Linked DNA regions of Callithrix jacchus. The protein of the gene in region 3 interacts with the protein of the main gene of each other region in a pairwise test. Links are inferred from orthologs where the notes say so. Each region holds a gene or a part of one and is shown on either strand. Other genes may lie near its edges.

Evidence for each region.
Region 1: the proteins of PTPN11 (region 3) and IGF1R interact in binary tests that used the Homo sapiens proteins (3 or more experiments, as listed by UniProt). The link is inferred for Callithrix jacchus from reciprocal best matches to the Homo sapiens genes PTPN11 and IGF1R.
Region 2: the proteins of PTPN11 (region 3) and TLK1 interact in binary tests that used the Homo sapiens proteins (3 or more experiments, as listed by UniProt). The link is inferred for Callithrix jacchus from reciprocal best matches to the Homo sapiens genes PTPN11 and TLK1.
Region 4: the proteins of PTPN11 (region 3) and TRIM32 interact in binary tests that used the Homo sapiens proteins (3 or more experiments, as listed by UniProt). The link is inferred for Callithrix jacchus from reciprocal best matches to the Homo sapiens genes PTPN11 and TRIM32.
Region 5: the proteins of PTPN11 (region 3) and GAB2 interact in binary tests that used the Homo sapiens proteins (3 or more experiments, as listed by UniProt). The link is inferred for Callithrix jacchus from reciprocal best matches to the Homo sapiens genes PTPN11 and GAB2.
Region 6: the proteins of PTPN11 (region 3) and RPIA interact in binary tests that used the Homo sapiens proteins (3 or more experiments, as listed by UniProt). The two-hybrid records come from large-scale screens. The link is inferred for Callithrix jacchus from reciprocal best matches to the Homo sapiens genes PTPN11 and RPIA.

What each region holds. Positions count from the first base shown.
Region 1 is NC_133507.1:11,000,893-11,005,627, reverse strand, and holds part of IGF1R (insulin-like growth factor 1 receptor), read right to left. Parts: intron 2,809-4,735; coding exon 2,641-2,808; intron 2,116-2,640; coding exon 1,911-2,115; intron 1-1,910. UniProt on the Homo sapiens protein: Receptor tyrosine kinase which mediates actions of insulin-like growth factor 1 (IGF1). Binds IGF1 with high affinity and IGF2 and insulin (INS) with a lower affinity. The activated IGF1R is involved in cell growth and survival control.
Region 2 is NC_133507.1:58,524,859-58,529,593, reverse strand, and holds part of TLK1 (serine/threonine-protein kinase tousled-like 1), read right to left. Parts: intron 1,903-4,735; coding exon 1,811-1,902; intron 1,729-1,810; coding exon 1,639-1,728; intron 1,488-1,638; coding exon 1,318-1,487; intron 1,129-1,317; coding exon 993-1,128; intron 1-992. UniProt on the Homo sapiens protein: Rapidly and transiently inhibited by phosphorylation following the generation of DNA double-stranded breaks during S-phase. This is cell cycle checkpoint and ATM-pathway dependent and appears to regulate processes involved in chromatin assembly.
Region 3 is NC_133510.1:115,404,363-115,409,097, reverse strand, and holds part of PTPN11 (tyrosine-protein phosphatase non-receptor type 11), read right to left. Parts: intron 3,676-4,735; coding exon 3,483-3,675; intron 2,239-3,482; coding exon 2,122-2,238; intron 846-2,121; coding exon 732-845; intron 1-731. UniProt on the Homo sapiens protein: Acts downstream of various receptor and cytoplasmic protein tyrosine kinases to participate in the signal transduction from the cell surface to the nucleus. Positively regulates MAPK signal transduction pathway. Dephosphorylates GAB1, ARHGAP35 and EGFR.
Region 4 is NC_133502.1:165,022,701-165,028,031, forward strand, and holds the start of TRIM32 (E3 ubiquitin-protein ligase TRIM32), read left to right. Parts: upstream 1-1,978; 5' UTR 1,979-2,330; intron 2,331-5,331. UniProt on the Homo sapiens protein: E3 ubiquitin ligase that plays a role in various biological processes including neural stem cell differentiation, innate immunity, inflammatory resonse and autophagy.
Region 5 is NC_133511.1:62,169,611-62,174,962, reverse strand, and holds the start of GAB2 (GRB2-associated-binding protein 2), read right to left. Parts: upstream 3,324-5,352; 5' UTR 3,274-3,323; coding exon 3,199-3,273; intron 1-3,198. UniProt on the Homo sapiens protein: Adapter protein which acts downstream of several membrane receptors including cytokine, antigen, hormone, cell matrix and growth factor receptors to regulate multiple signaling pathways.
Region 6 is NC_133515.1:25,431,203-25,436,667, reverse strand, and holds the start of RPIA (ribose-5-phosphate isomerase), read left to right. Parts: upstream 1-1,949; 5' UTR 1,950-1,989; coding exon 1,990-2,274; intron 2,275-5,465. UniProt on the Homo sapiens protein: Catalyzes the reversible conversion of ribose-5-phosphate to ribulose 5-phosphate and participates in the first step of the non-oxidative branch of the pentose phosphate pathway.

The DNA.
Region 1 (4,735 bases), on a different chromosome or scaffold from region 3:
GAAGAGGTTCACTTTCAAAAGGAAATAGTGCCTCCAGTTCTAACCGGTCTTTAGTTCCCATTTTACTGATTTCTCGAAGTGAGACAGCTATTTCAACCATTTTGCAAATATCAAAAAGGTCACTTGGCAGAAAAAAAAAATCACTTTAAAAACCATTTGTTGTTATAGCCTAAGGAAGCCTGTAAGAGCAGAGTCACTGCGGATTAAACAGCCACTACAGGCTCCTCTCAGGGTCGGGCAGTGAGGGGAAGGGAACGTGCTGGGTGGGGTGCTGGCAGCGGGGCGTCGTGGACACCGTGGTTGGTGGGTGGCTCATGGGTACCATGCTGATCTAAATCCAACTCCTCAGCCTAGTTTTCAGGCATGAGGTCAGTTCCGAAATCTGCACTATTATCTTTCAGGAAGAGGGGCCGTGGGACCCCACTGTGCTTCCATCTCCTATCCCAGGCACTACTGGGCTAATCCTTTTTTGAAAGGAAAAAAAATTGTTCAGTATTTTTTATTGTGTTAAAACAAAATAAAATCTACATAAGGTGGCCGGGTGCGGTGGATCACGAGGTCAGGAGTTCAAGACCAGCCTAGCTAAGATGGTGAAACCCCATCTCTACTGAAAATACAAAAATTAGCTGGGAGTGGTGGCGCATGCTTGTAATCCCAGATAATTGGGAGGCTGAGGCAGAGAACTGCTTGAACCCGGGAGGTAAAGGTTGCAGTGAGCCAAGATCAAGCCACTGCACTCTAGCCTGGGTGACAGAGTGAAACTCCATCTTAAAAAAATACATATATATGTAAGATAAAATTTTGCCATTTTAATCATTTTAAGGGTACAATTCAGTGGCATTAATTCCATTCACAGTATGGTACAACTATCATCATTACCTATTTCCAAAAAGCTTGTCATCACCTCAAATAGAAATCTATCCATTATGGAATAATTCCCACTCCCCTCCCCACTCCCATTCCATGGTAAACTCGAATCTGCTTTCTGTCACCATACATTTGCCCCTTACATATGTTTCACACAACATAAAATCGGACACTATTTGTCCTTTTGTGTCTGGGCCTTGTTTCATTTGGCATGGTGTCTTCAAGGTTCATCCATGCTGTAACATGGGTCCAAATTTCCTCCCTTTTTGTGGCTGAATAATATTCCACTGTATGCTTAGAGCCCATTTTGCTGAGCCGCCCATCTGCTGACGTGCGCTGGGTCGTTTCCAGATCTGGCTCCTATGAACAGCCCTGCTATGAACACTTGCTTTCCTCTGCTTCTGTCCCCACTCCACAGAAACCAAGACCACAGCAGAGGAACAGAGTCCTTGGGGCAGAGGCCGCATTGCTCTGAAGGGCAGAGTAGCCACGGAATAAACAGCCACCACAGGCTGTCCCCCTACACTGCTTCCCAAACCTACTTGGAAAGGATGCCTGTGGCACCTGGCTATGTTTTGAAGTCAGGCCCCTTCCAACACAGACTCTGATTATTTTCCCTCTTGCCTCACTCCTCCTCTGTCAGGCTTGAGAGAGGCGGCAGAGAGAACTGGGAAGGGGAGAGATGGGCCCAAATCCCGGCTTTTCCTCTCACCAGGCAGCGGATTTCAGGGCTCTGAGTTTTCCCTTCTCTGCCTCTACCACAGGGTGCCCACCTGCTCTCTGTGGGGGTTGGGGCTGAGGCAGCTGCACCTGTCACATGGGTGGCCCCAGCAACCGAGCCCTGGTCCCCGTTCCCTTCAGGGCTGACCGATTTTCTCAGGGACTCACTTCCCTGAACCTGTCATCTTTTGTGGCTCCCTCTCAATGGCTATCATGCCGTGCCCCGCCACTGCTGACTTACACACTACCTGGTGGGGAGAAAGGCAGCAGAACCCGCCTGAGCAGCAGCTTCTGCCAACTGAAATTTCACGTGAGCTCAGTACCTGGGCACGAAGATGGAGTTGTGCAGGAAATTCTCAAAGACCTTGCGGTACTCGGCCTCCTCCTTCTCCGCCTGCTTCTCGGCTTCGGTTTTGGGGCAGGCACAGCAAGGCCCTTTCTCTGTGCCACACACCTCAGTCTTGGGGTTCTCTGTGACCTCCTCAACGTCAATGGAGCCGCCAGCGTACTTCCTGATGGGGATTTTGTCTTCTCGGAAAAGAAAAGCCAAAACAAGAGTGGGATGAAAGCTGTTACACATGCCTGTGAGGAAAAATCATAGCGCTCAGCACCTTTCATCAAGAATACAGCCAGTCTTGGCTGGGCACAGTGGCTCATGCCTGTAATCCCAGCACCTTGGGAGGCCAAGGCGGGTGGATCACTTTAGGTCAGGAGTTCGAAACCAGCCTGGACAACATGGTGAAAACCCTGTCCCTACTAAAAATACAAAAATTAGCCGGGCATGGTAGTGCATCTGTAATCCCAGCTACTCCGAAGGCCAAGGAATGAGAATTGCTTGAACCCAGGAGGCAGAGGTTGCAGTGAGCTGAGATCATGCCACTGCACTCCAGCCTGGGAAACAGAGGCTCTGTCTCAAAAAAAAAAAAAAAAAGATAGCTGGTCTCCAACAGAGGACTACGATGTTACCTGATACATGTAATATTAGGGATCAGGTACATTCAAACCCTGTGAAGGAAGAGTCATGCCCTCGGTCCAGGCCGCTGCTGCACCTACCTTTGGAGCAGTAATTGTGCCGGTAAAGGTAGCCGTCCTGAGGCTGCTGCTGCCAGCGCACGATGTAGTAGCTCAGGTTGCCGTTGGGCAGGGAGGGCGGGTTCCACTTAACAATTAACTGAGAAGAGGAGTTGGACGCCGAGAGCACATCCAGGGGAATGGAAGGAACTGCAAGGGGGAACAAAGAACATTCCAGAAAATGAAATGAACTGAAGATTCCGGCTATCAGGTACTCTGTGCAAGTCACCACCAGGAAACGGCAAGTTTGACCGGGATAAAAAATAACAATGAACAATGGAATACAAAGGGAAAAGTGAGCCTCACTCTGAAATAGCACCACTTCAAACGCCAGCATTTCCCTTTATGATCTATTTCCCCACGTAATCTCTGCGAAAACAAACATTACTAAGTTGTAAATGGAAAAAGGCTTCGGGCGCACAAGCAGGGTTAGAAGAGACGTGAAAATCAACACCCAATTCAAACACCTGGTATTTCTGATTTATTATCTCTGCTGTTCTCCACAGCGCTGAACTCCAGCCGTTTCGACAACTGGTAAAGTAGACTGACTTGGATTTCATCTGAGATTTCGAATCTCTGATAAAAATGTCACGAAGCCGAAAGGAAAAAGGGGAGTGGAAAGGGGGCTGGAGAGCCTGTGCATGTGAAGGAGTATGTGTGCCCATGTCCCAGCTGTGTGTAAGAGGGATGGGGGTGAGGCAATGCAAAGAACATGGAGTCCACCATTTCCACACACATCCTTCAGTAGGCTGACCGAGGCATGACTCTGAAAAGCAGTCTAAAACTGCAAACGCATGGAAGCCTCATTTCAAGCAAAGGACTCTGTCACTAGCAGAATGAATGCTGATTATAGGCAGAGCACTGTTATCTGATCAAGCTTTAGTTATGCTGACCCCCGAACCCAAATCCAGAGCTGATGTGTGCATAGGGGTCAAATGTATCCTAGGACCACGGAAATCATGTCTTTATTGGGTTTACAAAAAAGTATCAATGTTGACTGCTTTTCCAAAGCGCGGGACACACATTCACTGGATATCACTTAAGCAACATGTTCACCTAAGCCATTTTTAAAACTTGAAAAGAGTGGGCAGCTTGAGGGTGCTCCAGGCTATACAATACACACAAGGTTCTGAACATCTTTAAGGGATGATACTTTGGAAAGCGGTTATGACTAATACTAGGGTTTTCAAAGGAAACATAACCACTTCATGCTCAGCCACTTTAGGGTTTCCGAAAATAAAGACTTCAAAAACAAACAGCTCATTCCAAGATGCATTCTTATGATAGGTGTCACAGAAAAAGCAGACGCAGAGGACCAAGTTCTTCTCCGTGTGTAAGGACGGGGGAAAAAGGTAGTAAATGGACTCCTTTGTACAGTGCCTGGTTTCCATCTTTGCGGAAAGGAAACAGGTTTCTTGAGAATCTGTCACAATAAGCAGAGATTCCTGTTTTCCAAACGCTACAGTGAGCTGCTGGTCAGGGTTACTTCCACATTTTAAGATGAAAAACTTATTGTGTTGCATTAAGCCTCTGCTACACCAACACACACCCAGGATCAGAAGCCTGTGCCAAATTTATTTGTATCATCACGTTACCCAGTGACATGACTGTGGCCATGCACAGGATCATGGAAATAGGGTAGGAGGGGAGGAAGCAGCAGGAATGCACAGCAAAAGGTTCTCCCTGCCAGCATTTTATCCTCACCTCCTCTCTGCCATTTAAACTCATTTTGTGCTAGCTTGTGAGTATTTAAAAGTACCTTACCCACTAAAATAATGGCTATTATAAAAAAAATGTTTCAGTGCTGTGGACTGAACGCCTGTGTCCCACCCCAAAATTCACAGGTCGAAATCTTAACCCCTAAGATGATGGGATTAGGAGATGTGGCCTTTGGGAGGTGACTGGGTCATGGGGGTGAAGCCCTCATGAATGGAATCTGGGCCCTTCTATGAGAGGCCCTGAAGAGTGCTCTGGCATCCCCACCACCATGCAATGACAATGAAAAGACAGCCATCTATGAGCCAGGGAGTGGGCCCTCTCCAGACACCAAACCCACCAGCACCTTCATTTTGCACTC
Region 2 (4,735 bases), on a different chromosome or scaffold from region 3:
TGCACTCCAGCTTGGACAAAAAGAGTAAAACTTCATCTCAAAAAAAAAAAAAAAAAAAAAAAAAAAAAAACCCAAAAAACAACCCCTGAAACAACAAAAAACCCCTGTCTCTATAAAAAGTTCAAAAATTAGCTGGGCATAGTGGTATGTGCCTGCGGCCTCAGTTACTCAAGAGGCTTAGGTGGGTGGATCGCTTGAGCCTAAGAGTTTGAGGCTGCAGTGAACTAGGATCACAACACTGCACATCAGCCTGGGTGACAGAGCAAGCCCGTCTAAAATAAAATGACCAATCCCTGCAATCATATAACCTCCAGAGAGGGCCTGATGCTTAGTTTTTGCTTACAATAGTTAGAGTATTATATTAACCTAAGTATTTATATTTATGATTAACATCACCCTAACATTGTAGAAGAAAACCCATGAATTCTCCCTGTTAGGAGTTTTTGGCTGGCAGGTACTGAAGTCACTTCCTAATGCCAAGTCATTCTCTCTCCAGTATGCTGTTATTTGCAGTTAAGAACAGATGAGAAAAGAGGAATGACCACAGTAGTCTCCCTCTCAACTGGGAGCTTAGTATCAGTACCTTCACCAATCGTTTTTTTTTTTTTTGAGACGGAGTCTCGCTTTGTTGCCAGGCTGGAGCGCAGTGGCGTGATCTCGGCTCACTGCAACCTCCGCCTCCTGAGTTCAAGCAATTCTCCTGCCTCAGCCTCCCAAGTAGTTGGAACTATAGGCAAGTGCCACCATACCCAGCTAATTTTTGTATTTTTAGTAGAGACTGGGTTTCACCATGTTGGCCAGGCTGGTCTCAATCTCTTGACCTTGTTGATCTGCCCACCTTGGCCTCCCAAAGTGCTGGGATTATAAGCATGAGCCACTGTACCTGGCCACCACAGTAAATCTTAATGGCTACATGGAAATAAAAGACTTAATTCTCATAAAAACACTGGGCACTAATCTAGATATTCTGATGTTTTTAGTAACACACTTACCAGTAAGTGCCTGCCCCCTGGGAAGTTAGATCCATTCCATCTACACCATAGCTATCATCATCCATAATCTTAGACAGACCAAAATCAGTGATTTTGATTTCACCACATGCTGTTCCATCTACCAAAAGGATGTTTCCTAAGAATAAAATATAAGATTCTTTTAATGATGCATATATGAAAAACAGTAACTTTATTTTTAATTTTACTAGTAGTCTATGATGTTTTAAAAACGAAACCAAAAAGCATGTTTTCAGATAACTTAAATGAATGTCTTTTTAAAACTATACTCAAGCTTAAAAATATATTAGACAAATTTCATAATTACCTGGCTTAAGATCATAATGTATAATAGGGGGTTTGATCTCATTGAGATATCTTAGTGCATTTACAATCTGCATTACAATAGACCTAGCTTCCTTCTCTGACATTAACTTGTGTTGCTTCAGATAGAAATCCAAGTCATTGCCTTCACAGTATTCTAACACTGTACAAAACCTACAACAGAGAAGAGAAAAAAAGTCAGACAAAAGTATTATCCAAGAATTCAGAATCACAATGGGGAAATAGTATTTATATCATCAACACGGGATGGGGAAAGAGAGCAAGCATATCTTTCCTTAAAAATTAAACCTTAATATTCACTTACGTATCTGTATCCAAGGAGAAATAATCATAGAGTTTAACTATTCTGGGGTGATCCAGTTCTTTGTGTATTCTATACTCTCTGCAGGCATGTCTACAGAAAGACAGTATATTAACTCTCCATGATCATTCAAAACATATTCCATTTTTAAAAACCATAAAGCATTAGTATTTACTTGTGGTAGTTTTCTTTCTTCTCATCTCTCCAGCTTTTATTAAGCTGATGTATCTTCACAGCAGCATATCTTTGTTCATAAAGGTCAAAAGCCTAGGATTTCAAGTCAAAAACAGTTCAGATGAAAGACCAATTGAATAGCTGAAGAGGCATTTTTTATTTTGATGATAATATGGAATTAGGATAAACCCTACAATTTTTAGAGATCTTCTCTACTAAGATTAGATATAGTTCAATGACCTTTTTATTATCAGAAGCAAGATGGAAATTCTATAATAAATCAGAAAACCTTAATGTGAATTTTCACGTTAAATTTTATAAATGCCAATACATTGAATAAAAATAAAACAATAAAGCTATTGTTTGTTTTTAATATGGATTTATTCTTCTATATTGGTAGTAAGCAGCCAGGAAAAGAGATGGTTGTACCACTTTTTTTGTGGGTTGGGTAAAACAAACCTTTTAAGTCTATCTTTTCCTAGAAACCCCCTTCTTTTCACTTTTTAGAAAAATTAATAAGTTCCTAAGAGTTACTTTTTTCCAACTGTTGAAAAAAATTCTACAGTTATTATAAAACTGTTCAAACATATACAAAAGTAGACAACTATAATGTGCCCTTATGTCCCTACCATCTGGTTTCAAAAATTATCAATATTTGGCATTCTTGTTTCATCTATTCCCTACTATCCTTGCTTCCCACCCTCCCCAACCAGAGTATTATTAAAACAAATACATTATTTTCCCCAGTAAACTCAGCAATATTTAAATAAAAATAATCAGATATCATTATCATACCTAACTATATCAGTAGTAATTCCTTAATCTCATCTAATACCTAACCTGTCTTCAATTTTTCCCTGGTTATCTCACAAAAAGAATTTACATTTGATTTGCTCAAATCACCAGCCTATTTTTTAAATTAAAAACACAGAATTATTAGTGTTTTATGGCTTTACATGACTTACAAATGTTTTTCTAAAATACACTGAATGCCATTAAAGAGGCATTTAATAATTTTGGTTCCACTGTGATTTATACAAAGGTGCCTCTTTCATGTAAAAGCGTACCTATTTATTAGAAAGAAGGTCCCTAGTTCCCATTCTCTCCCATCAATTTAACCTAAAAATAAGCAGGAGGCAAAAAAAAAAACAGTAAAGGGACTACTTTTGTACAAAGCAGTAAAGGGATTACTTTTGTAAAAGTATGAGATCAGATATAATATAGCATGCAGTTGTTAGGAATATTCCCTTTGCAATAGGATGCACCTATTAGCTAAGTGACTCTGTGCTAATACCTTCTCTGAGCCTCAGTCTTACAAAGTTAGGGTTATTGAAAGGATTAAATGGGGGTAAACCATATGAGGTATTTAGAATAATACATGGTAAAACCAAGAAACATTAGCTAATTACATATTAAGCGTTAAGTATAAAGAAACTGAAAAAAATAAAAACAAGTTTATGTAAGACACAAGGCAGAACAAATCTATAAAGAATTAAATTCAAAGGCAATCATAATAAAGAATAATCGAAGAAAAAACTGTATACCCAATAGAATAATCAAAGAAAAAACTAAGTATATAACCAATAAAAAGTTATTATCAGTGTATACTGTTTATAATAAATTACATATAACACATCTTCCTCCCAAGATTTATACCTTTCCACAAGGCTAATATGGCAATCACTCAGCAACTGATCAACATCTCCCACCTTGGTATAAGATACAACTCTTAACGTCTTGATTTATAATCTGCTTTTTGTCTGGTTGTTTTCCAACAGACCTGGCAACCATGAAAGAGCTTTAAAGGCCTTAGAGAAAGATACCACTCATATTTAGATCAATACAGAAAGTTCAAGTCACTGGGCCTCAATACGCACTTTCTAATCTCTATGTAAGTCTCTTCTACAAAAGTCCTACCTATGAGGCTAAAATAGTTATTTAAAATACAACCACACAGTAGCAGAGGGCTGTTATGAAGGCTCATGATAAGTTCACAAGCTCAACAACTTTTAGGCCGCACTAACACTAATTGCACTTTCAGTGACTTTTAGATCCCAGCTGAACTATCATGATAATCTTTTCTACCTTATAAAAAGCCTACTTTCATTAAGTGCTTAAGGATGAACTATCAATAGAATCAGAGGAACAGGAATTGGAAGAGAGCTCAAAGATCACTTTTGATGAGTGAGGAAGGTGAGACCCCTGAATGTTTATTTAACAAAATAACAAAAAAAAGGTGCATGGTTGAACTGATAACAGAACTGAAGTTCTCTAAATCCAAATTCCCAGAATTTTTCCAAATCAGAACAAGAAACCAGGTTGTGTTGAGTAAACCAAAAGGGCATAGTCTTTGTCTTGTGCAAAAGGATTTCTTTTTATCTTTTTTTGAGAGTATCTCCCTCTCTCTCCCCGGCTGGAGTGCAGTAGCGCAATCTTGGCTCACTGCAACCTCTGCCTCCCAGGTTCAAGAAATTATCATGCCTTAGCCTCTGAGTAGCTGGGACTACAGGCCATGTGCCATCACACCCAGTCAATTTTTTGTTTTTTTATTTTTAGTAGAAACAAGGTTTCACCATGTTGCCCAGGCTGGTCTCAAACTTCTGAGATCAGGCAATCTGCCTGCCTTGGCTTCCCGAAGTGCTAGGATTACAGGTGTGAGCCACAGCCAATAGGCAGGATTTATAATAACAATTTTATCAGCTTATTTTAGCACTGATGTTCTAGGTGATTTACCTGTGATAACTCAGTTGATCACTGCAACAACCCTACAATATAGGTATTGTTATTATTCCCAGAAGAAGATGATGAGTCAGACAGAGATTTAAGTATTAAGTCCAAATTAATAAAATTAGAAAGCAGCAGTCAGGATTTAGCTGTCTGGCTTTAGAACCAAAGCTTTTAACCAACTATGCCAATATATAATGAA
Region 3 (4,735 bases):
CTGGGCAACTTTGCAAAACCCCATCTCTACAAAAAAATACAAAAATTAGACGGGCATGGTGTTATGTGCCTGTACTCCCAGCTACTCAGGAAGCTGAAGTAGGAGGATCATTTGTGCCCAAGAGTTCAAGACCAGCCTGGGGAACACTGTAAAACATCATCTCTACCAAAAATACAAAAATTAGCCACGTATGGTGGCATGTGCCTAGAGTCCCAGCTACTCAGGAGGCTGATGTGGGAGGATCACTTGAGCCCAGGAAGGCCAAGGCTGTAGTGAGCCAAAATCACACCACTACACTCCAGCTTCAGCAACAGAGTGAGACCCTGTCTCAAAAAAAAAGCCACCACAAGGTGTTTCTTTTACTCACACTCATTTGCTGCAGTAAAGCCACAGATTCTTTCTAAAGACCCCAGTGTATGTTGGAAATCTTCCAGAGAAATTAGATCCTTTTGTTTCTTTGAGATTTTGCCACCAGTCAAAACCAAAAGAGCCAAATGGAGCTGTTGGCGCATCCACTGACTACTCATTGCCAACTCCCTTCCCTCAGAACACAATGCTCTTCTATTTCGAAGAAGCCCTCTCAGCAACTTGTTCCACGTCAATCAATGGCCGAATTTAAAAAAGAACGTCAGTTTCAAGTCTCTCAGGTCCAATTCCAAACATAAGACCAACTTCTCCTCCACTAAAAATAGGACATAACAACTCACATAAAAACAGTTTTAATAACTTACCTCAAATTCTTCCCAAAAGCCTTGCTTGACTTTATCTGTGGTCTCAGCTAATTTGCTTAGTTCTCGAACTCTGCTTTCTATTTCAGCAGCGTTTATACGAGTCGTGTTAAGGGGCTGATCAAGTACAGCGGTTGACGTAAAAAAAAGAAAATTTTACAGAAAATAGTGTTAATGCAAAAAAAAAACTTCTATGTTGATATTCATAAAGGCAAGAACAGAGGGTTCGCAGACCATATAATTCACAATAAAAGTTTTCAAAGTTTCAGTTTCTTTTCTGTTCTGCCAGGAAATTTATCTTTCTTCAGTATCCACGTACACTTACTTTACTCACTCTGCTGATATAAATTTAAGCCTATTTTTCTTTATGAATAGACCACAACATTATTTATAGAGATATTATATCATTTGCCACTATCACAAAGGTGAACTATGAAATAGCAACAATGCCAAAGTGAACAAGTGAGGTTACCTTAAGGTAACCAGAAGTAGATCGATAATGAAAACTTGCTTTAAAACTCTGTATTGCCGTAGGCCAGGCACAGTGGCTCATGCCTTGTAATCCCAGCACTTTGGGAGACTAAGGCGGGCAGATCACTTGAGGTCAGGAGCTCAAGACCAGCCTGGCTAACATGATGAAACCCCGTCTCTTCTAAAAATACAAAAATTGACTGGGTGTGGTGGTATCGCCTATAATCCCAGCTACTCAGGAAGCTGAAGCAAGAAAAATCTCTTGAATCCGGGACACGGAGGCAGTGAGCCGAGAACCCACCACTGTACTCCAGCCTGGGTAACAGAGCAAAACTCCATCTCAAAACAAACAAACAAACAAACAAAAAAACCTCTGTAAAGTCTCTTACAGATAAATATGGGAATGATATAAATTTGGAATATGTTTCTAAGTACTACAGGAGGCAGCCGATGAGTGAAGTCATAATAAGAAAGATTTAGGGCCGGGTGCAGTGGCTCACACCTGTAATCCCAGCACTTTGGGAGGCCAAGGTGGGTAGATCACCCGAGGTCAGGAATTCAAGAGCAGTCTGGCCAACATGGTGAAACCCAATTTCTATTAAAAATGAAAAAGTTAGCCAGGCATGGTGGCGGGTGCCCGTAGGCCCAGCTACTCAGGAGACTGAGGCAGGAGAATCACTTGAACCCAGGAAGCAGAGGTTGCAGTAAGCCAAGACTGTATCACTGCACATTCCAGACTGGGTGACAGAGTGAGACTCCGTGGCAAAAAAAAAAAAAAAAAAAACAGTTGATCATAAGTTGAAGCTGTGATGGGTACATGGAAGCTGATGACACTGCTCTACCTCTGTATGTTTGCAAAATTATCTATTAGGATTTTGTTTAAGTTTTTAAGGAGAAAGCTTGAGCTTTCCAATCCATTCACCTGCTTGAGTTGTAGTACTGTACCCAATGTTTCCACCATAGGATTCTTCTTGTAATGTTCCACAAGATCTGTCAAAGAATCAAACCGTTCTCCTCCACCAACATCGTATTTCAGTTCCTTTCAAGTTAAACAGATGACGTTTATTATTTGTTACCCTTATGTTACATTAGTGTTTTCAAGCACTCTCATGTTCACTGCAGCATTATTCACAATAGCAAGCATATGGAGACAACTTAAATGTCCATCAAAAAATAGACAATAGGCTGGGTGCAGTGGCTCACGCCTGTAATGCCAGCACTTTGGGAGGCCAAGGAGGGCAGATCACTTGAGGTCAGGAGTTCGAGAACAGCCTGGCCAACATGGTGAAACCCCATCTCCACTAAAAACACAAAAATTAGCCAGGCACAGTGGTGGGCACCTGTAATCCCAGCTACTCAGGAGGCTGAGGCACAAGGATTGCCTGGGCCCAAGAGGCAGAGGTTACAGTGTGCACTTCAGCCTGGGCAACAGAGTTAGACTCCACCTTAAAACAAAAGATAAATAATAAAAATGTGGTGTGTGTGTATATAAATATTCTAAAAGCATAAATATACTCAATATACTAGTACCATAAGTATAATAATATAGTAAATATGCTAATATAGTAACTATACTAATATACTAAAGTATAATAAAAGCATAGACAACCTTGACTAAGTGAGCAAAGAAAATCTGACTTTGGACCAGGCACAGTAGCTCGCACCTGTAATCCTAACACTTCGGGAGGTTGAAGTGAGCAGGCCTATTGAGCCCTAGTTCAAGACCACCCTGGGCAATATGGTGAAAACACCATCTCTACAAAAAATACAAACACTAGCTGAGCATGGTGACACACACCTGTAGCCCCAGCTACTCAAGAAGCTGAAGGAAGATCAACTGAGCCCAGGGAGGTTGAGGCTGCAGTTAGCCATGACCATATCACTGCACTTCAGCCCGGGTGACAGAGGAAGACCCAGTCTCAAATGAATAAGTCAATAAATAATGAATGAATGAATGAGAGATAGAGAGAGAAAGAAAGAAAAGAAAAAAGGAAAGAAGGAAGGAAGGAAGGAAAAGAAAGAAAGAAAATCTGACTTTAAGTGTAATGGGGTCTGTCCTCTTCCAGCAGAAAAATCACCCAAAGATTTGGGTCACCATACCCAGTGGGGTGAAACCCCATCTCTAGGTGACAGAGCAAGACCCTGTCTCAAAAAAATAAAGAAAGAAAGAAGTGTTTTTAAAAAGACAATTTGACTTTGAATGTAATGGTGTCTGTCTTCTTACAGCAGAAAAATCACCCAAAGACAACATCTTGCCAGACCCATAGTTCAACTGAGATGTACCTGACAGCGAATCATGACGTGGGTCACTTTAGACTTGCCATCATTGCTCTCCCCTTTGTCATCACCAGTGCGCACAGAGAGAACAAAATCTCCAGGGTGGCTCTGGCTCTCTCGTACAAGAAAGCTACCATGCTTTCCTTTTTCAGTTAATAATTTCTCTGCTTCTTTCCCAGAGAGGTGTCCATGAAACCACCTAAATTTTTTTAAAAATAAAAAAGACTTTAGTTCTGCCGTGGGTTCATGTTGTTCTTTCACAAAACTACTATATATAGTCAGCTCTCCTCAACACAATTAAAAAATAAGACACATTCCTCCCAGGGACTGATCAATCCCACCTGAGACAGAAAATGTGCATCCCATGCAGGCAGGAAAAACCACAAAGATGGTAAGAATGACCATCTTTCTTTATTTTTTTGAGATATTTTTCTGTAACATTAGTTACAGATTTTAGAGTGAAAGAAAAAAAAAAAGAAAGAATGACCACTAAACTTAAGTGAGTCCACAGTCCTTTACAGACAAATGCCCCAATCTTTCCTGTTTTCTTCAAAATCCCTCCTCTTTTAAAAATGCAATTTGCCATTCGTCCACTGCCCAATCTTAAAAGGACTAAACTATGTAATCACAGCCATTTAAAGAAGTTATAAGCCAGGCACAGTGGCTTATGCCTGTAATCCCAACACTTTGGAAGGCCAAGGCAGGAGGATCGCTTGAGGCCAGGAATTCAAGAGCAGGCTGGGCAACATAGTGAAATCCTTGTCTCTAAGAAAAAATTAAAAATTAGCCTGGCATAGTGGCATGTGCCTATAATCTCAGCTACACAGAAGGCTGAGGCAGGAGGAACACTTGAGTCGAGGAAGTCAAGGCCGCAGAGAGCTATCATCATGCCACTGCACTCCAGCTTGGGTGACAAGCAAGACCCTGCCTCAAAAAAAAAAAAAAAAATGGCAGCTGGATGCGATGGCTCACGTCTGTTAATCCCAGCACTCGGAAAGCCAAAGTGAGTGGATCATCTGAGGTCAGGAGTTCGAGACCAGCCTGACCAACATGGTGAAACCCCATCTCTGCTAAAAATACAAAATTAGCTGAGTGTGCCGGTAATCCCAGCTACACAGGAGGCTGAAGCAGAAGAATCAGTTGAACTCAGGAGACCAATGTTGTAGTGAGCCGAGATGGTGCCATTGCACTCCAGCTTGGGTGACAAGAGCGATACTCCAACTCAAAATAAATAAATAAATAATTTTTTAAAAGTCAAA
Region 4 (5,331 bases), on a different chromosome or scaffold from region 3:
TGAGGAGACCAATGTGAGTAATAATAAATCTCCAGTCTCCCACACAGCTAGCTGTATGTGAATTACTCTTTCTCTATTGCAATTCCCCTGTCTTGATGGATCAGCTTTGTCTTGGCAGTGGGCAAGGTGAACCCCTTGTGTAGTTACACTGATAAAGGTGGTTTACGCGTTAAATAAAAATCTATTACATTAAAATACTGAATAAAGAGTATTTAAAGCACTCCACAAAGATTATTTTAAAAATACCTCTGTGTAAGAAGAATGCTAATATTGTGCCACGATATGTCAAGGTATAAAATAAAAATGAGTGCATTTCCTAGAGTGTTTATTTTACTTTAACAGTTTGTGGGCAGTATAATAATTCATTTAACTGGTAAGTAATTTAAACATTAAAAAAAATTCAAACACTGATTTTTTTTTTTAAGAGAGAGGAGTTTTTTTTTGTTTTTTTGTTTGTTTTTTTCAAAACACTTGCTTGAGATAGATCCCCAGGAATATTTTTAACACTTTTCTGTCATTAGGGAAACATCGATATGTCTGTATTGAGATATATATATATATACACACACACATACATATACATATAACATGTATATGTGTAAGACTACGAACAGTCCGAAATTTATACATTGGGCTGATAACTGTGGTTTTCAGGAAAAAAGAATGCAAAGTCTCCCTAACTCGTATAAGAAGGGAGTATAAGTGAGAAAGCATTTGGCACCGCCTCTCCCTTATCCCCTACTTGCTAATTACAATTTTTCAAATACAGTTACCAACTGCAAACTACCATAATCTTGGTTTATCTTCATAGCAAACTTCATTTAGAAATTTAGAAAATGGGGAGAGAGAGTAAACAAGGTTAAGAGAGTGGGTTCCCAGATAGAATCGGGTACAAATCAGGGCTCCAACAGGCACAGGTTTGCTGTGTAACCGCCTAGGTTACACAACAGGTGTAGGTTAACCACCAGCTGCCTTATCTTATGAAGTCCTTAGGAGGATTTAGTGAGCCACGCACCTGAAGTCCTTAGCTATAGCCAGACAGCAAGTATCCAAAGGTGTTAGTTATTGTTTTTGTTCATGGTTTTATCATTGTGCAAGGGTCGCATAGCTAAGTGGAATTTCAAATCCAAGGCCATCCTACTTCAAACTCCTTTGTGCTCCTAAGCTATGCAGTATAGTCACCTTGGAGAGCATGCGATTGTCCCCAAACTACCTCAGGGACTGCAGGTTATGGCCAGCCAGTCCTCTATCAGACCTCGTCCTTGCCAGATGCCTAGTGCCCCAGATTCCCTCAAATCTCAGGCCAGACAACTTCCCACCCGGTAAGACTCCCCCACCTTCACCCCTGACTCTCCAAAACTAGACTTGGTGTGGGTTCCCGGGAAGCTCTGTCTGCAGGGACAGTATTCCCCACGTCTGCGTCTGCTGTCGACTTCCCAGCTGAGTAGGCAAAACATTCATTCCTTTACAGAGCAATGTGTTCATGGATAAACTTGTCTCTAGCGCAGCTCTGTGTCAGAGCACAGAACATGGAGCCCAAGCACTGCCCTTCCCAGGGAGTCCCGGTTCTCGACTTCCCCAGGATGGAAGTTTGATTCTACCGTTGGCCCATTTCTTTGATAGAAAAACTGAGACTCAGCGAGGTGCCAAGGCTTTGATTAGGACTACCCTGGAAGCCACGGCTTTGTAAGGGGTAGACATTGGGACTGGAGTCAGAAACGCGTTCTGGCTTATCTCCTGACTTACTGAATGAACTTGAGCAGGTCCCTTTCGCCCGTGGGCCTCGGTTTCTTCATCTGCACAACGAGACGGAAAACTGGATTACGTGTAGCTAAGGCCCCCGGGTTCTCAGAGGAATGCTCACCCCTGCAGGGCCGACCGGCCCCGCGGCACTACAAGACCCAGCTTGCCTCGGGGGGCGGGGCTCAATGACTGACAGGGAGCTCTGCGAGTTGCCGCCCGGCAAGGGGCGCTCAGCGGCGCGTGCGCAGAAGGCGGCAGGCGGGTGGGCTGGCGGCGGTGGACTCGTTGGAGCCGCGGGCGGTCAGGTAGGGGGCGGGAAGGAGGGTTGGGGACCAGGGACCGCGGCCGGAGTCGTGGGCGGTGGCACAGTAGCGGGGCGGAGGGCCGTGCCGGCGAGCAGCGGCCGCGCCCGAATGGCAGAGTCTGTGGACCGGATCTGAGGGGCAGGACTGGGGTGGGGGTGGGGCTGCTAGGGGCAGGCTCGGGAGAGATTCATGGGGCTGAGGAGATCCGAGGAGATGCAGCTGGGGGAGGGGAGCGAGGTGCTCTGAAGAGATTTGCGTTTGAAGCATTTCGGGAGGTATGAGGTAATGTGGGGGCCGAGAGGAGAAATGGGGTGCAGCATGTGGGAGATGGGAGGGAATCAGGGCCCTGGAGGGACCTGGGTGCAGAATTTCAGAAATATGAAGGAACTGGGGACCCCCGATGAGATTTAAGGGAATCTGGGGGCGCTAGGCATCTGGCAAGGACAGGGTCTGAGATGATAGGAGCAAGGTCTAGGTCGATCCTCAGTGCTAGTGAGAGAGGGTTTTCGGAGTGGGATGAGCGTGAGATTGAGGGGATGGGGATGAGTTCTTGAGGGACTCTGTCTTGTTAGCAGAAAGAAGGGACCTGGCTGAACTGTGAAGCCAGCATGTGACATTCAGTGCGTAAGAGGAAGGAACAGGGTTTGAGAGCGGCACAGTGCCTGATGGAATGCAGGAGATGGGGGGCTCAGAATGAGGGAGAGCAGAAATCAAGTGTGGAATTGGGCCGTTGAACTGAGGTGCAGGGCTGAGTGCAGCAGAGATTTGGAAACAGGGATTAAAGGATCTATGTCCGAGGGATTTGGGGCATAGGAGTGAGGAATTGATGAGGGTTGCAGTATACAGCGCCAGAGATTGGAATTTGGTATTGTAAGAGGGTTGGGGACAGGGTTTGGAGAGGATTGAATCATAGGGTAGAGATGTCCTAACTGGGCTATAGAATCAAAAAACCCTGAGTCGGTTTGTGGACTGGTGTCTTGGACTGCTGAAGAGATTTTCCTTAAATCGCTGCATGGGAGACAGATGGAGTTCAGGGGACCCAAGGACCTAAAAGTAATGTATGATATAGATGAGTATATGAAGATGAGCAGAGTTCAGGTGTTGAGGAACGAAGTGATACATCTTCAGTTCAGAGATCCTGAAGGAGTGTGGTGATCCTTGTGAAGGGCAGAATCTTCTTCATTTATTAAACAAATATCCATTATCATGAGGCAGGTATGGTATTGCCACTAACTCCCCTCTGACACCCCCAGGCCACTGAAAATGGTGGGCTTTGGGGAAGAAGAAATGGAACTATTCAAGGTCATCTACCTAAGCCCCTTTTCCTTGTACCCACAAGCTGCGATAGCAGATAGAATGTGAGACCTCCAGGGGAATAAGTGGAATAATTAATCCTATCTAAGATCCATTACAGCTTGAAGGGGCGGTGCCTCTGTGAATGAGGTGTTTGGGCTCTGAGAGAGACAAAAATAAAAGGGAACCCTTATGTATTGAGCATTTAGTCCTGTGCCAGACTATAAAGAAGTGGTTCTTAACCAGGGGTGGTTTTGTCACCTTGGAGACATTAGGCAATGTCTGGAGATGTTTTTTGGTTGTCACAGTTAGGGTGGGGAATACTACTGGCTTCAAGTGGGTAGATGAAACATGTTAATGTTTTATGTTAATGTTAAACATTTGATAATGCATGGGATAAGCCCCTGCTCCCCAGTAAGGAATTATCCTGCCTAAAATGTCAGTACTGCCAAAGTTGAGGCACTCTGCCCTAGAGTCAGATATCCTGGGTTCAAGCCCTAGCTCTGTCTCTTCCTGACTTTGTGGCCTTGAATGAGTTACTTAACCACCCAGTGCCTTGACTCTTCACCTGTAAAATGGGGTTATGATAACGACCTATGTCACAGAATTGTGAGGATTTAGTGAAATAAATTAGCATGCCTAGGATCTGGCACATAGTATGTTCTCAAAATCTAGTAACTTTTAGTCTTATATCTACTTCTTTATTCAGTTTTCGTATCTTTCTAAGTAGGCTCTGCTGTTTTCAGTTTTACACGAGGGAACTAAGGCTTAGGAAGTGACTTGCCTAAGTTTCCATAGCTAGGAATGACACATAAGCTCATACCCAAATCTCTGTAGCTCTGTATATTCCCTTTTTCCTTGCTACTTCCTTTCTAAGGCCTGCTTAGTCTTATTTTCTCAGCCCATTCCCCTCTAATGAAAAAGAGGATTGCCCAGTGACTATCAAAGACGGGGTGGCGGGGTGGGGGGGTGGGGGGGCGGAGAAGGTAAATCTCTCTGATTAGGTAGGGAGGAGCCCTGGACTTTGTTCTTGGTTTGCTCTTAGACCAAGACCAGGGGCTAGATAAGGAGACGAGTTTGAGGTTACCAGGCAGAATGAGGTGCAACAGACTATGGGGTGAGGTATGGAGGCCGTTGGCTTGAGAAAACACCTCATAGCAGGGACTGAGGCTTAAGGCATTCATATTCTGAAGGAGAGTAATCACTGTTCTGTGTGATCTCTTTTGGGCTGCTTTTCCCTGGAACAAAATAATAGCATTGGCTCTATCATCTCCAGGACTAGCTACAGCGTTGCTGAAGCCAGTTCAGAAACAAAGCTAGACTGCATCTGACTGCTAAGGTTTAGCTGGAACATCCGCGCACATCCCTAAAAGAAAATATGTCATGGGAATTCAGTCAGCCCTGTCTAAACTCCTTACTCTGTTGCTAATTTCTTATGCTACTTGGACAAGTACTTGTCCTGTCACCCTCAATCTATTAAAAATGCACATGATGATCATTTATTGAGTGCTTATTATGTGTGTTATCTTAGTGAATTCAATCATCCTGCTAACATTCTGGGTTTTATTCCTTGTTTACAGATGAGAACGTACCCAGGGCTACAGAGCAAGTGGCTAGGGTTGGGATGCAAACCCAGTTCTGTCTTATTCCTATGTTACATTATAGTAGTTTTCTTAGAAGGCTTTTCCAGCCCTTCAGAACCCCTATGTTTATGTCTGGAGAGTAGTTGGAAGCCAGAAGTTTGTAAGGCCCTTAAAGTAGATCATTGTCTATGCACACTGATGTGTAACCTTTGTGACATTCCCTTCATCATGTCTTTCTGGTAAAACAATCAAATTTAGAAATCATTTCTAGGAGCCCTTACCAACATATCAGCCAAACTTTGTCTAAAGCCAGGAAACTATACAACATCCTTTAAGTTAGTGATTTTATGGCTGGGAGTTGAAACTGGGATTTGAATCCTTGTTCTGTTACTTACTGGTTTTGAGAC
Region 5 (5,352 bases), on a different chromosome or scaffold from region 3:
CAAGTTAGCCACTAGGGGGCAGTGCTGCTGCCAATTTTACTTCCTGAATCTTTTAACCCAGTGAAATTCAGAGAAACAATGCAGTGTAGGTCATATTAATAAAATGTTTTTTCCCAAAAAAATTCTGCTTAAAATTTATATATATGTACTTGTTCATGCATTCGAGTGCATGTGCCTACACACACAAATACACTGAGGCAGACAGGAGGGTTGTTACTTCTGCCAGCCTCCCACTGCAACTGTATCAGGAGGCCACAGGGGCAATACTCAGCATTTTCCAGTCATTTTTTTGTAATTTCTTTGGGGCTCTCAGCAAACAGAAGCTAGATCTTTTATACTTACAATTAACTAGAAAAGGCTGATGAAAAAAAATCCCTAAAAACTAATTGCTCAAACATTTGCATTTGCTTTTCCTAAGATGTTTTTCCCCTCTACATGTCCCCCTTTACCCCTCAAATATAAGTTTTTTGTTTTTCTTTGAAAAGGAGTCTCATTCTGTCACCCAGGCTGAAGTGCAGTGGTGCAATCTTGGCTCAAACCTCCAACTTCCAGGTTCAAGCCATTCTCCTGTCTCAGCCTCCTGAGTAGCTGGGACTACACGTGCCCTTCACCATGCCCAGCTAATTTTTGTATTTATGGTAGAGATGGGGTTTCACCACATTGGCCAGGCTGGTCTCAAACTTCTGACCTCCAGTGATCCACCCGTCTTGGCCTCCCAAAGTCCTGGGATTACAAGCATGAGCCATTGCGCCCAGCCTTCAAGTCAAATCAGATTTTAAAACAATCGTTTTAAATAGTTATAACCTAGTTCATAAATCATTTTTTCACCTTATCTCATATTCTTGATGCATTCTTACAATCAGGATTTCTTAATCTACAATATAACATGCCTGTGATGTATACCAGAAAAATCAGCTACTGTGGGTAAATATACAGCAGTGGAGCTGAAAATACTTTCCAAGTTTGGTTCTAATGAACCTGGGCCTCCACTGAAATAAGCAAACTAGCAGAGTTTTAACTTACAACAGGATGCAAAAATTCTCAATACCCAAAAAGAAAAGTAGATGTAAAGGCCTACTGTTCCCCAGAAGCTTAGGGTTACACATATCAGCACAGTTTCAACTGGGGTGAAACAATTTCCACAGGGCAGAGGCTTCCAGTCATGTAAGTGAACATTAAACAACCAAGCCTACAAAAAGCTGTGACTTAAAGCTGTTAAATTCTGACACCTGATGGGCTGGAGGTGCATGAAAGATGGGAGAGGCTGAGGTCATCATATGACTCTAGATTCGTTCAAGCGGGTAAAAAGGTTCTTGACCCAAACGCCTTCGAAGGTGGTTATTTTGAACTAAAGTTGTTTGGGAACAAAAACACCCAAGAAATGGGTCATAAAGAGTCTGGGTGAGAGTTCAAGGAGTGATAAATCAAATGTGGATACAATGTCACACTGTTTGCAAATTGTTTCAAAAACAAGTTTCAAGTTTCTTTAGTGTTCAAATTTGAAAATTAAGGGTCATATTTTTTGCTGTGGACACTATGCCACTAGCTGATATGGCATCTATTTGTATAGGTAATTTTTGGAAGCTCTTTGGGACAAAGTTTCTAAAATATTTATAAAATTGTTAATAGTAAACGACTGTTCCTTAACTCTAATTAAAATATTCAACTTTGCTAATGAACTGATACAACCCTTAAGAGGAAAAAAGTTAATTTCTTAACAATTATACTTTGGCTACATAGACACCCCTAAAAATGAGCTTTCAAACTGAGATAAACAATTTACTGCTTCATCCCTCCTATAAATCCACATCCACTTTTAAAAGTCATGTGCTAAATCCTTAGATTTTTTTTTTCCCAGCAAAAATCTACGTAATCGCCTAATTTCATTGACACACACACTTGCACTCTGCAACAACAACACTTCCTTTGAAAAACAGAAAGTCACTTCCTCAGTCCAGAGGCCACAAGTCCCTTGATTCTGATCTGGGGGCCAAGACAGGAAATTCTGGTAGGCTTCTGCCTCTCCCCCCGTGGACAGACACTGGTGCAGCTGACAGAGGGCAGGGTCTATTCCGAGCTCCCTTGATGCACTGCAGCTGGAGGCAACGGCTCCCTTCCAGGCTGTGGGAGTGATCCCAGAGTCCGGCCCCACAGCCTGTTAAACAAGGGCATTTCATGGGAAGTGGAGAGGGAGCAGATGAGAGACCTTGAAGCCTTCCAGAAACCTTATCCCCATTTCCAAACTCGCGCGACTACCCCAGGACCATTTCGGCCAAACCTCAGTAACTGGCACCATCGTGTAGTTTGACCTCACCAAGGAAGGCATCCTTTAGGGAGAGGGTTAAAAAAGAGCCAGAACTCCACCGCTCGGCGCCACGCCGTGCTACCTCCCCTAGGCTGCCAGTTCCCCACCTAGAGGGAAGAGGCTGTGCCAGCGATGCCAGTAATCATTGTCCGTTGGCAACACCTGGCCGCGGAGAGTCTCGATCTCTCCTGAACCCAGACACTCAGGAGCTGCCCGGTCCCAAGCCCGGGCCAGCCACTGGGACTAAACTGCAGTGTCACACCGGGGTCGAGGGAGGCGCCTGTGAGAGACGAACCGAATAAAGGGACAGAAGGGGGACAAACAAATGAGTCACTTAATACAAGAGCTGCACATGCCGCTGACGCTGCCCGTGATGCAGCCGCGAACGAACGGAGGCAGGAGGCTGGGAGGGGCGGGAGGAGAAAGGGAAGGAGAGGGCGTGAGGCGCTCGCCCTTTGTAGGGCCGTCCGCGCGCCCCCAAAGCCTACGCCCCCCTTTCCCGCCCACTCCCCGACCCTGCGGGCTGAAGCTGCTAGCGGCTGCAGCGGTGCCCAGCCCCGGGAGTCAACTCTCTCGGTCTCCAGAAGCCACCAATACAAACTTCGGTACTATATTTAGTTTACGGGCAGGCCAGCTGGGGAAGCGCCGCCGCGCCCGCCAGGCTGAGCAGGAGCCGCAGCCTCAACCTGCCGCCCGCCCCGCCCCTCGGCGGCGCACCTGTGACAGGTGTGCAGGTGCCCCACAAGCCCCGGGCCGCTTCTCGCCCCGGCCTCCGCGGCCCCGGGCCCCAGCTCCCCAGCCTGCCGTCCCTCCGGGAGCCCCCCGCCCCTCCGCAGGCCCCGGGGCGCCCCCCGCCCGGCCGCCCGCCCCTCTGCGGCCGCTCCCGCACTCACATAGCGCCTCAACTTCTTCTCGGGGGGCGATTTCCTCAGCCAGCCGGTGCACACCACGTCGCCGCCACCGCTCATGCTGCTGGCCTGGTCCCGCCGCCTGGTCGTGCGGACGAGGGCGCGGGCTCGGGCAGCTGGGGCAGCGGCCGGCGGTGCGCAGCTCGCGGGAGGGCAGGGGCGGGGCCGGCGGCCTGGCGGGGACGAGGCGGCGCGGCGCGCGCCCGCTTCCCCGCCCCGAGCGCGCTCAGTCCGCACTCGCAGCCCGGCTGGGGGCGGGCGGCTGCAGTAGGAAGGCCGGCGCGCTCGCCACGCCCGCTCCCGCCGCGCCCCCGAGGCGGCCGCGCACGCGGACGCGGGGCTGGGGACCCGCGAGGACACAGTTGCCGCCGCCGCCGGCGCGCCCGGGAGTCTCGCTTTCTCCTGAGGCCTCAAGCCGCGGGCGCGGAGGCTGGGGAGGCGGCCGCGCCCCTGGCGCTAGCGGGTGTGAGGGGAAGGGAGGGCGCGCCCTCGATCGATTTTTCGCCGAATGTCGATGGGGAAGGGATCGGCGGGCTGCTCGCGTTTCCGATCTATTCCCGGAGTTTCAGATTTCCGCGGGTCAGGTTCCGGCTGAAAGGAGGGACCCCTTCCCAGCAAGAAGCTCCTTAACTCTGGCGCCCCTCGCCAGGAGGAGACGGACCTACTACGCGCCGGGAGCCTTTGCACTCGTGGCTTACAGGCTTGTCTTCAGAGTCGTTCCTATTTTACGGACAGCCTAAGGGCCAGGGCTCTTACAAAGCCGAGCCAAGTTTCTAATTCAGGTGTGTGGGGGAAGAGGGGACCCGCTCATTTGCTATTCAAAATGAGGGCGTGCCTCAATGGGATCAACCTGGGGCCCTCTCGTTGCGGGGAAACAAAGTCCAGCTGACTCCCTCCCACATTGCCTCTGGGAAAACACAGTTTAGTAGAGAAAATTCGCATGATTCGTAGAACGGAAGAAGCAAAACTAGTCATAGTGAATTGAAAGGCAAGGTCAAGCGTAGAACAACAAGAAATTGGGGTCAAAATTCCCCAGCGTTCCCGCTCATTGACACAGGCTATGAGACCTCTGTTTGTAAATACAATGATAGCCTCTTATTGCGCAGTGAGGGTTCCCAGATGTTCGTGGAAGCGCACAACCCCAGCACTTCAGCGGGTAGAAAAAAAATCTTTTGTATGAGCCCTTTTCTCATCACAAACTGCCTCTCCAAGCTGCATTAAAAGGCAGGTCTGGCCGGGTGCGGTGGCTCACGCCTGTAATCCTAACACTTTGGGAGACCAAGGTGGGTGGATCACCTGAGGTCAGGAGTTCGAGACCAGCCTGGTCAACATAGTGAAACCCTATCTTTACTAAAAATACAAAAATCAGCTGGGCGTGCCTGTAGTTCCAGCTGCTCAGGAGGCTGAGGCAGGAGAATCGCTTAAACCCGAGAGGCGGAGGTTGCAGTGAGCCAGGATAGTACCACTGTACTCCTGTCTGGGCGACACAGTGAGACTGTCTCAAAAAAAAAAAAAAAACAAAGGCAGGTCCTCCCTAACTTCTCTGAGAAGTTTTTTCAACGGGGAACCGTGCTTTGTGGACAGGTGAATTGGATAAGCAGCATCTTGCACTGCCCCACACAATCTTAGACTAAAGATGTTTTATTTTTTTCTGTCTGTGGCACTTAGTTGTTTCAAGCAGTTAGAACAACAGATCTTGGTTGGGTTGGGGAAGTTCACCCTCTTCAGTTTGGAAAAGCGAATCAATCTCCTACCACGTACTTAGTTCTTCTAGATACCCTGGGAGCTTTAGTGGTCAGTCCCCTGGATCTAACATTTCACTAACTTTCTTCAGTATCCAGTGTACTGCTGGATGGGAAGTAAAGCCAGAACTGTTAGACTGGGATCAGAGCTCCCTTAACCTTCCAATTTAGGGGTCCTTAAGTCACATATGAAGGGCCACTACCAGAATGATGGCCATTTTAACTTCTGGCTTCAGATACCTTACATCCCGGTAAGACAGAGTACTTAACGTCTGCCAAATCAATCAGGAGGTGGTGACTCCCAACCAAAATAAAGCCATTCTGACTTCATTCACATCTGAGTCATGGTGCCAAGTTCCAGGGATTGCAGAGTCGGAGAAATCTGCATGGTTTGGCT
Region 6 (5,465 bases), on a different chromosome or scaffold from region 3:
TTGGCAGCACATAAACTAAAACTGGAAAGACACAGAGATGGTCCTTGTCCTTGTAATTAAAAAAAAGACTTTTTGGCTGGGCACTGTGGCTCACGCCTGTAATTCCAGCACTTTGGGAGGCTGAGGTGCATGGATCATGAGACTGAGACCATCCTGGCTAATATGGTGAAACCCTGTCTCTATTAAAAACACAAAAAATTAGCCGGGTGTGGTGGCACATGACTGTAGTCCCAGCTACTTGAGAGGCTGAGGCAAGAGAAGCTCTTGAACCCAGGAGGTAGAGGTTGCATGACCTGAGATTGCACTACTGCACTCCAGCCTGGGCAAGAGAGCAAGACTCAAAAAAAAGAAAAAAGGCTTTTTAGTGGATTAACTTATAAAGTAGATTGATTTTACTTTTGTCAGACCCTGAATCTAGTCCAACATCCAAAACCTGTGTACTTACCTTCATTTAGTACTTCCTCATTTATAGTTTTTTTTCCCCTTCTTAACCATTTTGTCTTAAGATTTACTGCTATTACTTGTGGCTTTAAAGAGAAAAGCCATTACATGTGTGGCTTACACAAAGTTCGTGCTATATTGGTGATGTGGTGGGGTAATTAATAAATCCCCATCTAGGTGATTCTATTAGATCAGGGTTTGGTCCTAGAATCACCGAAGGTTTGTATCCCAGCTTTGCTTATAAGCAGTGTGACCTTGATTAAGTGAGGACTTCTTTTATGCCAATGGGAATAACAGTATCCACTTTTTTGGGGGGGGATGAAGTCTCACTGTGTCTCACCCAGGCTGAAGTGCAGTGGTGTGATCTCAGCTCACTGCAGCCTCCACCTCCCAGTTCAAGCAACTTTCCCGTCTCAGCCTCCTGAGTAGCTGGCCCTACAGGCATGTGCCACCACACCCAGCTAATTTCATATTTTTAGTAGAGATGGGGTTTCACCATGTTGGCCAGGCTGGTCTCAAACTCCTGACCTCAGGTGATCCACCTGCTATGGCCTCCCAAAGTGCTGAGATTCAAATATTCAAATGTTATCTCAAACAGCTTTTCCTCCTACAGACAAAGGTGAAGACTCAGGAGCTCCCGGCCTCAGGGGGCACAGCATAGTTAGAAAATCTAGGTGATAAGTGGCAGTAGCAGTGGCCCATACCAGGGACTTGCACACGTGAGTTCTGAAGGCCTGGAATGCATTTGAAGATGAGTTCATGAACAGACAGAAAGGATTCCACTAATAGCTGAGAAACACAAAGGTCACGTGTTTGTATGGGCCTCCAGGTGGTCGGTAAGGTTGGGGTCAGCATTAGTTTCTTCTTCTGTAAAATGGGGGCAGTTAAGAATTCCTCATCCCTTAATTATTCTCAACAGCAAGAAACCTTCAAAGGTAGAGAATAAAGAGAAATCTGTTTTCATAGAAAGTCCTTGTAATGGGTGGAGCAAGGTGCAGCTACCAGGTGCAGAAGACTGTCTACAGCAAGAAGTACTTCTCAACTTGTGACCTTGGGCCTGTGCTGGTCTAGATAAACCAGCTGGCGCCGGTGTCGCATGTGAGTTTCCTAGGGAGTAGTCACCTCCAAAGGGCCGTGTCGTCTACGGAAGAGTCACTACTCTGAGGTCTAGTCCATGGCCACATTCTCACTGCTGGGAGAAACAACAGGGTCAAGTCTAACAGTCCTTTCCCAGATGAAAAACATCCCTAACGGTGACATAAGCACACGTCCCTCGAGTAAGGAGCCATAAACGGATCTTCCCGCGTCTAAGCGTACTTTATAGAGCGACGCGCCAGAGGCCGTCGCCTGCAATTGCGCATCCGGTCACGGAGAGCATTATGGGATTGGTAGTCCAGACTGAGGCGCAGATGCGGGTCGCTGAAGCGATAGAACTACATTTCCCAGCAAGGCCCACGGAGCAGGGCACACAAACCGTGTACGTAAGTGACCAGACTTCCGGACGAGCCAGGGGCGGGACCTCAGCGGAGGCCTGAGCGAGGCGTCGGGATGCAGCGCCCCGGGCCCTTCAGCACCCTCTACGGGCGGGTCTTGGCCCCGCTGCCCGGGAGGGCCGGGGGCGCGGTCTCAGGCGGAGGAGGGAACAGCTGGGACCTCCCGGGTTCCCACGTGCGGCTGCCGGGGCGTGCACAGTCCGGGACCCGCGGCGGTGCTGGCAACACAAGCACCAGCTGCGGGGACTCTAACAGCGTCCGCCCGGCCCCCTCAACGATGTCCAAGGCCGAGGAGGCCAAGAAGCTGGCGGGTCGCGCGGCTGTGGAGAACCACGTGAGGGTGAGCTCCTCGGGGCGTGGGGCACATGTTCTCGGCGTGTTGGGCTCCTGTTGCGCCTTCTGGGTACTGCCGGGGCGCGCCTAGCTCCTGGCAGGGCGGGTGCTAAGTGAGAGGGTAGAGGGTGTGCACTTTACCGGAGTTTAGACCCCTCTTCCCTGCTCCTTAAAGACCTTTTAGAAGTAGAATCGGTTAGGGGCGAATCTTCTTATACTTGAGCTTTCTAAAGATTCCTTGTCCAGCTGGAGCAGTTTTCACAGGGGAGCCTGGTGGCGTCTGATGCTTGTAGTGGGGGCTAGAGGCACTTGCCTTGTGGCCTCCGTATCAACAAAAGGAATATGGTGGGCTTTGGGGCTGCGGAGCGGTTTTCATTTCTCTTTACGGACCCGGAAGCCAGCGGAGAGTTGGTTTGCTAGTACTTTGAAATTTGAGTTGAAGGAGGCTCTTGGCTTGGTGCGCACCGGCCCCTGACTGTACTCCTGGAGGGAAGGGAAGACCCGGGGCTTCATACCTTTTTCTTTCCATAGGGCGGGGTGGACTAAGTCTGGAGGATGCTGTTTTGTTTTTGTTTTTTTTTTAAAGCCGGGCTGCGGAGATGTTTAGCTGTTATTTATTCAGGCCGTGGCCCCTACTTGTTTGTTAAATGGTGGATATGGTGCTATTAGTGGAGTTTTTATAATCCAAGTGGTTTTGCTGTCACCAATCAAGTTAGTTATGTTAATTATAATAAGGAAACCTAGTGGAGTATGTCTGCCCTGTGGTGTAGTTTCCTTGGTCTTACTGTCTTTTTATCTCCCATTTCTACTTATTAGAAAGTGGTATTAGATTTCCCCTTTCTTTTCTGATGATAGTTCTTTACATCTGTTAATGCTTTGCTCTACATAATTAATTTGCTTAGATGATGTTGTATGAGCTTCACCACAGCCTGTTTGAGTGGGAGTGGCCAGTGTGGTAACCTGTGGCTCAGCCAGTTCTGTAGAAGGGATGTACCAGTGTGCCCTTCTACCGTTTCCACTCCTGCCCTGTTCTGGTGTAGCTTGTTGCAAGTCTGGTTGGCAATAGGATTTTCTATGGGGATTAACAGAGATAATGTAAAATGTATTAATTTGACCCTACCTTTGGGATTCAGTGCCTCAGTTGTAAAGTTGAGACAATTAGCTGAAAATTCAAAATATCTGCATAAAGTGAATAGCTAACGGACAAATGAAATCCACATGAGAATACAATTAGAAAAGCCCAATATCCAAGTTTTCCTGTTAACGAATTTACATTAATATTTGGTGGCACATCTCCCTGACACTTGTATTATAGTTATGTATTTGGTTAAATAAAAATCTGCAAGCCCTAACCTTAGGCTAGAGCCCCAAAACACTGGATTCTGACCGCATCATTTCATGAAGTTAGCAGGTGATTTTGGGGAGATCTACATTGGCCTTTCGGGGGCACCTGTTAAAATCATGTATGCCTTTCAGGGTTTGGCTTAAAGGCCATTTCCTCCTTTCAGTTTTGCCTTAGCATTCTAAGGAGAGGGAGATTTCTTCTCTGTGATTCTGTAGCACTTCATGCCACTTGCATGCTTTATGTTGTATTTTATGTTCTCATCATCTGTGTGTTCATTTCTTCCAGCGCCTTAAAGGGTAAGCTCCTGGAGGGTAGTTAACCTTCATTTAGCATTGGTCACAGTGGGGACTGCCCAGTAAATGTTTGTTCAGTTGTGTGCAGTGTGGACACAAATATGAAAGTATTGGGGTTATTGGAGGCTCTTTGTATAGAATTTCTGGGGAGTAGCACTTCCTGTTCCCTAGTCCATTGTTGTTCCAATATGGTAACAACTTCCATGTCTGGGTGGATGGAAGACTGAGAGTTCTCAGGTGAATCGTTTGTATAGCCACCCTGGACCCAGCTCTGTCTGTTTCTGGGGGTGTAGCCATCTAGGATGGGTCGCTTTGCAGATCTACTTTCTTCTGAACATCTGTAGCCTCATCCCTTTGTTCTCTTTGGAGCTTGGGCTTTGTTTTTTGACTGGCTTGGTTGAGGAAGCTGATGGACAATGATTCTAGTTGGTTAGCAGTAGTATGTATTTCCAAAGTTACTCCATTCGACAAGCTGAGTGAAGTTCTGATGTTGCACATACATGTGGTTTAATATTGCCCATTAGAATGGGGCCACTCCTCCAGCAGGGCCTGGTTGGTAGTCTTCTGCTGTTGGGCTGCATCATAGGCAGTCTTTGGTCACCTCTGGTTGGCTTTGGCAAGGGCACTGATTCCTAGGCCAGTCATTTGATTCCAAGGCCTCAGCGATTACGTGGTTGAAGAGCTTTAGGCTTGGCAGGCCCTTGCAATTACTGGTCTCTTCCAAAAGGCAAAGAAGGAGCCTTGTACAGAGCTTGTCTGATTCATCCAAGTTCGTCTCTCTGCTACCTGCCTTCTGGGGACTGTGAGTGACATGAATGTATGGATAAGCTTGGTAACCAGGAGTTTGGTGATTGAATTACTGTAAAGCTAGACTTCCTAGCTTCAGGTCAAGTGTGAAGGTCAGGTTAAGTTTAACTAGTGTGATATTTTAAACACACACACACAATGTTTTTACCCATGGCTTCTGGTTCATAACACCCATAGCCCTTGCTGCAATCTTTTGTTATATATGGGGTGCTTTAGGCCTCAGAAGAAAATCTCCCTCTCACACCTTCTCCTGTCCTCCTTTCACTTGCTCCTTTCTCTCCCCAGTGCTTTTCTGTCTTGGAGCTGACTGTAAAGAAATTCTGTGACCTGTGTTGTCTTATCGTAGGTCATAAGATCCCCATCTCAGAAGGGTTCCTGTTCCATACCCTGGAGGAAGGAATGCTGTACAGATAGGTGAAGAATCTGAACAGACAGCACTTACAGGGTTTCCCCAGTCAATCTGTACCCTTTTTTGTCCAATCACATTTCTAGGCCCTTGCAATTCCTGGTCTTTTCCAAAAGCCAATCATGCTTATTCGACAAATTTTCCAAAAGGCTCAAGAGTACAGGGTTTGGAAGCTTCTGGAGAGCAGAACATGTGAAGGTCCCTGAAGGATGGTGTGCCTGGAGAGCGTGGAAGCTCTGTGCCCCTTCCTACATGTCTTGCCCTATGAATTTCTTAATCTGTATCCTTCATCATAGCCTTTATAATAAACTGGTAAATGTGTTTCCCTGAGTTGTGAGCCACTCTAG